Coturnix japonica: one gene and its partner. The protein of the gene in region 1 interacts with the protein of each later gene in a biochemical or structural test. Links are inferred from orthologs where the notes say so. Each region holds a gene or a part of one and is shown in the gene's direction. Other genes may lie near its edges.

Evidence for each region.
Region 2: the proteins of BNIP2 (region 1) and ARHGAP1 form a complex in vitro, tested with the Homo sapiens proteins (2 studies listed by BioGRID). The link is inferred for Coturnix japonica from reciprocal best matches to the Homo sapiens genes BNIP2 and ARHGAP1.

The regions. Positions count from the first base shown.
Region 1 is NC_029525.1:4,468,488-4,471,413, forward strand, and holds part of BNIP2 (BCL2/adenovirus E1B 19 kDa protein-interacting protein 2), read left to right. Parts: coding exon 1-82; intron 83-196; coding exon 197-295; intron 296-1,879; coding exon 1,880-1,915; intron 1,916-2,926.
Region 2 is NC_029520.1:20,940,018-20,944,272, forward strand, and holds the start of ARHGAP1 (rho GTPase-activating protein 1), read left to right. Parts: upstream 1-1,448; 5' UTR 1,449-1,551; exon of another isoform or gene 1,552-1,633; intron 1,634-1,660; exon of another isoform or gene 1,661-1,847; intron 1,848-3,062; exon of another isoform or gene 3,063-3,786; intron 3,787-4,255. UniProt on the Homo sapiens protein: GTPase activator for the Rho, Rac and Cdc42 proteins, converting them to the putatively inactive GDP-bound state. Cdc42 seems to be the preferred substrate.

The DNA.
Region 1 (2,926 bases):
GGAAGAATCTGAAGTCATTAATCATAGTTCATCCTTCTTGGTTCATCAGAACGCTTCTGGCCATCACAAAACCTTTTATTAGGTAATGATATGGATGCTGTTTTTCTTTATAAAAGTTTAAGTCTTTAACTGTTTAAATATTGACCTAATGAATACCTTTTAAGTTGTAACCGTACCCTGCATTTCTTCTTCACAGCTCAAAATTCAGTCAGAAAATTAGGTATGTCTTTACCCTGGCAGAACTAGCTGAACTCATCCCCATGGAATACGTTGGCATCCCAGAATGCATAAAACAGTACGTCTTAACATTCAAATGTGTTCTATGTTGACATGTTTAGGAAGCGCTGTTTAATATATTTAGTGATTGGTTTGAATGTAATACTTGATATGTTAAGTAACTGCCATTTCTAGGAGGAATTGCTGAACTACAGTTTTAATATCTAATCGAACAGAAGGAATGCTAATGCACAAGGACTTTCGTGTATAGTGTCTCACATAATCAGCAGTTTATGATGTATCTACTCTTCTGCAGATTAGGCCTTGCTGCAGTTCTTCTACTCGCTGTATGCTAAATGGGCTTGAGTAAGAAATTCTGTGCATTTCTGTTGGGCTTATTTGTGATATCTTCACCGTTGATGCTAAACTGCACTACAAATTAAGAAGTGAAATACCACTTGGGTAGGAATTTCATTTGAAAAAAGCTGTGGATAAAAGTGCTTGAATCTGTACCCACAGTACTTCTGAAACTGCTTTGGCAGAGTGGGGAAGGCAGTATCCAGTGTCCTTGATTTTCTTTTTTCCTTCTGCTCTTCCTTCCTTTCAGGTCCTTGCCATATAATATCCATCTAATGTCAGCACAACTCTGCTGTCAGATGTGGTAATGACACTTGAATCTGTGGATGCAGTGATAAAGAGAAATCATAAACTTCTGTTTTGAAAAGCTAGATGGGAATATTAATAATATTAATAATTCTGTTAGTAAATTAATTGGAAGGTGTAACATGCAGAGTCCATGGGGTATGTGCCGCAGTAGGTGATCACAGATGTGATGGCTAATGGAGAACTCTATGAAGGAAGATGGTGTAGTATTGCTTTGGGCAGTTGGATGAACTGACTGCTGGGTGCTGCAATATACATTGAGCTGGTGTTAGTTGTGAAATTTATTTATTTATTTATTTATTTATTGCTCTATATAGCATAGAGCAAATGCAGTTTTTTTGTTGAGGGCGAAAGATGTGACAGTTGGAGCAGCTTTGTGCTATTTTGGGAATATTTTCATGGGACTTTTTGAAGGGTATGTTAGGGAAGTCCAGGCTGTCATTCCTAGACTTACACAGCTACTTTCTGTACTAAAGAATTGCTTGGGTTGGAAGGGACATTAAAGCCCATCGAGCTACAACACCCTGCTGTGGGCTGGTTGCCACACACTGCATTGGGTTGCCTAGGGCCCCATTCAGCCTTGTCTCCAGGGATGGAGTGTCCGCAGCTTTTCTGGGCAACCTGATTCAGTCATCAGAGGTCAGCCAAGCTTATTCTTTATAGTAGTTAATTCTCAGACTTCTGTGTTTGATATCTGGTTTTAAACTATTTAAAAATACAAATTTTAAACTTTAGTGATGGCTAAATAACATACAGGAAGTTGTTCTGGGTCAATATGCTGCAGTAATTAAATTGTGATAACAATTGATGATGTTGAAGGTGCAAAACTTTTTTTTTTTTTTTTTTTTTTTTTTTTTTTTTTTTTTTTTTTTTTTTTTTTCTTTTTCCATTTTAAAACTTGGTATGTTTCCACAAATTATATTTACACTGATACCAGTTTGTAGCTTCTATTGAATTTGGCCTTTGTATATTTACTGAAATCAAACTTTTCCCCACTAAGGTATGAAGAAGAAAAGTTTAGAAAGAAACAAACAAGGTATATTCATGTTTTGATGAAGGTTGCATCTAGATAAGACTATTTGCACTGCAACTAACTCCCAGATGATTGGCTTGTGTAAAGGAATAAGCATTTGTAAATATAAACGAGCACTAGTGACCTTGTTCTTATGCATGGAGTAACATCAGAAAACCCACGTATTTGTAAATAGTCTCTACTTTTAAATGTGATTCTGAGCTTTAAGGGGTGTGTGTGGATTCTTCACATCTTCAAGAGGCAAAAGCATGCTTCTGTATGAACTGATTGAATTGTTTCACTGTTCTAACAAGTGATGTCTGAAGAGTTGTTTTTAGGTGCTAAGCTGTAGTACGCAGCAGAGGCACAACTGTGGAACAAGTTCTAATCCTGTATTTAGTTTCATATTAACTACCTTTTTTAACTTGCTTAGATGCAATTTAATGTTTTTAGTGCTGTTTGTATTTGCAGTGCATATATTCCTTAGTAACAGTCACTGGATTTTCACTTTGCAAGCTTTCAGTCTCTTGCTAACCATTCAGGCTCTCTTAGTAGCTGTGATAATTTTTTTTCTCTTTTTGCTTTTACTTTTTCCTGTATATCTAACAGATGTACTAGAATGTTCTGCTATTAGCTTCACCTGATTTGGCTACCATTCTGTGTGTGTAACTGTTGAGGGAAGCTTCTTGTCTAACTTGGGTAATGAACAAAGAAACAGTGAAATGAAAGCTAAAAAAAAATTCTTTCTGAAAGCTTGCATGTGAAGCCACTCCACTAGGAATTACTCCAATTAAGAGGATCTTGCGGTGTTATAGCCTTAAGTTCTGAGAAAGCCAAACTTAAGAACCCCATTCAGTATACATTGAACAGCAGTATTACCTGCTTTTGTCCAGCACGCGTGATTTGCATTGCAAGGCCCATTGTATTCAGACTATGAACCTGAGGCATTCAAGCAGTAACATATAAACTTGGTAATCTGGAGGAAAAGTAGCACTCCTTAGTGTACCTGTCAATGTCAACACTTACTACCATTAC
Region 2 (4,255 bases), on another chromosome or scaffold:
AAAGTTTATGGAGGAAAAAAATGAACATCTGACATCTCAGATTGCCACACTGCTGTCTTTGTAGCACCCCAAAAGGGAGCAGTGCTATTGATCGTTCTCACATGATGCCATATTTCCTGTTGTACAGTAGACATTAAAAGCTCACAGAACGCAGGCCTCTAAACAAAGCCTCCTGGGGAAATGCAGCTGTTGGAGAGGGGCAGAATGGAGATGAAGGCTAAATCTGTGGAGGCAGTAAATGAAAGCAGCATTTGTGCTACATGTGCAAGTCGGAAAGACTCTGTTAGGGCCGGTTTTGTTGATCTTTTCTTATTAGGCCTTCAGAAAAAAAATTTTCTTCCTGACAAGGCATCAGTTTTATTCAGCACTATTTTATTCATCTCAAATGGCAAATGGTCACTAAAGAAGATGGAGCAGTGGGAATACCTGGGCTGTAGTGCTGGTTGTGCCATCTGTAGGCTTTATGACGGAGGAGCAGAAAAGTGGCAGAGAGGAAGCAAGAACATGAGAAAAAAGATCGGGAGAAAGGAAGAGAGAGGCAAAAATCTTCTGAGCGTACTGAAGTGAACTGTAAATCCTTACCTGGGCAGGTAAGGAACTCCTCAGCTGGGGACAGTGAAAATTCACTGTGCTCACTGTAGTATGCTACTAGTAGTGTAAGAAATGAAAGCAACTTTTAATGTTCTCAGATGCCAATGTAGACACTTTGGAAATGTTGCTTTCTTTCCTGCAAGTAACTACAATTGTTCTTCAGGACTGCGTTGCTGGGCTTCCTGCCCAGCTGTTCTGGCATCACTGGCCCACATGCCCATGCAAACACCGAGATGAACCCAACATGAGGAAAAGGACAGATCCAGGTCTCCTGAATGTGCCTCTTTTTGCCCCATCTCTAATTTTCTGCTGTGGATCCACAACCCACACCCTTGTCCATTTCTTCCCTGCACCTGCTGCTGGCTTTGATGTTTGAGATGGCCTTGAGGTGCTCATTCTCAGTCCCTGGCACTTTGGCTTGCCACGGCTCATGTACGGGAGAAGTGCTTTCCTCTCCTGGCAGCCTATGGAAGCATTTGGCAGCAGCCTCTGGGCTTCAACAGGGGACGTCAAGGACTCTGGTTTTGTCGGGCCGCATCCTGAAGAAGTAGGAATCGCCTGCACAAACACAGAATCACGCTGGGTGAATTAACCGGCTGTTGCTGGGTCAGAGCACAAACCTCGGGGAAAGAGGCCACTACCCAGCCATCCCAGGGCTCCGCAGGAAAACCATCACTCTATGACTTCATTTATTTAACGACAGAAGGTGGGCAAAGTCTCCCCTCACCGCAGAGGGCAGCTGGGCAGGATTTCTACCGCCCGTGGAGGGCTCGGTCCTGCAGCGGGCGGCTCGCCGAGGCCGCAGGCACGTACCAGCGGGGGCTCAGCCGCCTCCAGCTCCGGGCCACAGGGCGGAAGGCACCGGAGAACCGCGGAGGGCGGGGCGGTGTTTCCCCGGCGACGGGCAGCGCTTCCGGCGGGAGGCGGATGCCGGAGGGGCCGGGCGGGAGGAGGCCGCAGGTACCGGAGGCGGAGGGGGGTGGCGACACGGCTGTGCTCGGAGCAGCGGGGCCTGCAGGCCGGGTGTCAGCGGGCACGTACGGTGCGGGCCGGGCTGCTGGGGAAGGGGAGGAGCCGGACGGCTGGGCGGGAAGTGGCCCCGCTCGGGAGCCTGGAACGGGCTGCTTGCATGGCCGGGTGCACGGAGAGAATCGGCCTCGGGGCTTTGTGTTGTGGAGTCGGGAGAGCCTGAGGTCTGTGACTGAGTGACTGCTGCTGTGCAGTGCGGAGAGGAGCCCTCCCGTGGGCCGTACCTTGTAAGAGTTGTTATCCCTCGTGTTTTCATTACTGGGCGGTGTTTGCTGTGCGGGCTGTAGCGCGGTGCAGGAATTGTTTGGTGTGTACGGAAATACAGAACGTTTCTGCTGTTGAAGTGAAACCGGCGGGAGCTGCAGGTGGCAGCAGGGGCAGAAAAATAACGGCAGCACCGGAGCGGGGCGGCTTTTTGGTTGCACGTTGCTTTGTTAGGGGGTACCGGGCTCCTTTCTGGTGTGCCAGTGCAGTGCAGCAGGGTTGTGTGTAAGCAGCGTCCCGCTCAGAAGCGGTGTGAAGGTTGTGTTGTACAGGGCTGAGCTTTCCCTCCTGCACAACGTGCTGTTCTGCACCGCAGCTCTCATAGCAAAAATGGCCTTTTTCTTTGGCTGGAGAGCAAAGCACGTGGCTCAGCGAGTGCTGAGAGCGGCCCGGACAGGAGCAGAAAGCACTTGGGAGGAATGGAAGTAGTTGGCTCTTTGGAGAAGTGCTCCTAATGCCAAGTGTGGTTCTTTTGTTTGGAAATGTTGAAGTAGGCCTTTAACTTTTTAAATCTGGGATCATCATTGTGCTTGTATTTTGATTGGCTGTGCAGGGTGTATGCTTTGCGTCTTGCCATGCTATTTCTCTGCTAAATGTGACGTTCTTAGACCGTGTTATGTCTGGTGAAGTGCTGTTGTCTGACAGCTGTTTTGCCCTTATACTAATGCAGGATGGCCGTCCCAGTCAGCGGCAGGTCCAGCTTGTGGCTCGTTTTGAGGAGGTGGAAAAAATCGCGTGCAGTCACTGTCAGAAAACGAAGCATGTGGAGTTGTGAGGATCTAAACAGAAGGGCTGTCCTGGTTTCAGTTCCACGCTTAGTTTCTTACCTCTCAGCTCTCACCTCCGGATCTTCTCAGTGCCCATCAGTTCCTGGACACATAGAACGCTGTGTTTTTCTGAATCGCTCTGATGCGAGAGACTGTGTGCTTCTGTCTTTAGCACCAGTGGGAAAGGGCAGGGGAAGTTCTGTAGAAAGCCCTCTGAAGGTCCCTGGGGCTTCACAAGCAGAACCTGAAATCTAAGAGGTCTTCTCTGGGTTCTCTGCCTGGTGTGGAACTGTAGACAGTCCCGGTGACCTCCTCCTGCCTCATGGTGCCACACCAGCACTAATTGTAGGAGCGTGCCAAAGGGGAAGTCTGCCAGTGCTGTCAAATAGCCAACACTTATAGCACTGGTGGTGTGCTGCCAGTTGTCCCTGAAGCCAAGTTGTGGTCCTTGTAGTGAGAAGGAGGGAAACTTGGTGTCTTGCTGGCCTGGTGGCAGTACTATCGCTTTTCTTTGGGATGGTTTGGATTTGGTCCTTACGGGCATCAAGACTGCTTAGGGGGCACTGTTATACAGGGCATCCTCAAGAGCTTGGTGTAGAGGGCATCTCCCTGGGTCAGTGGCTGGCAGCAGCTGAAGGTAGGTAGGGCCTCTGCCCACTGGAGTGAGGAGTGCTTGAGAGCTGCATTAATCATGCCTTGTGCAGGGCTGGGCGGTGGGGCTGCTGAGCTGCAGTGGGAATGATTTCAGCTCACTGAGTCATAGGGATCAGTGCCTCGCGTTACCATAGAAATCAGAGCAGTTGCTAGGGGTGGGGAGTTGCTTGTCATTTGGCCCTGCTGCTGCGTGGTTCTGGCATGAGCTCATGGTTCAGAAGAACCTGATTTCTTGCTCTCTGCTCTTCTGAGAGCAGAGAGGTCAGGCAGCTCTCAGTCCTTGCAGGAGGGCAGGGAAGGGCCTTGCTTGGGCCTCTGCTTGGCTGCAGTGGTCAGACCCTGTGTGTTTGCCGTACAGCCTTGACCATCCACTGCCCAGATGCATCTTGCTCTTTCATATTTCGGGAATCTAATTTCATTTGCTTAGCAAGGCCCCTTGCCCTCTGGGAGCCTGAGAGAAGCGAAAACTGGTTGTAAAGTGGTGAGTAAGAGATAAGGGAGGACAGGAGGTAAGCTTCTGGAGTAGTCTGGGGGGAAGGGACAAATGGTAACTGTTCCATTTCCTTTTATGTCAAAATACACCTAGCGTGGTCTTGAGTGTTGCCCTGAACATGGCTGTGACACCTTCCAGTGCTTGGGCTCTTGCAGGTCATGTCTTCAGGGCTTGATCTTTTAATTTGGATGGATACACAGTCAAGCTCTAGGGATGGAAGATGCAATATATTCTTGTCCCCTCCATTCTGCTAAAGGAAATGGCTTTACTGTAATTATCTTCTTTCCACACAAAGTCAGTGTGCCTCCTCAGATCATCTGTTAGCTCTTTGCTCCCCTCGTAAGGCAAAACAAGCACAAGCCTGTCGGAGCAGCACTGTTACAGGGAGTCTTGCTGATGTAAGGTATCATTTTGTGTTCCTACAGTTCCTCTTGGCTTGCTGCCTGCTGGCTGTTGA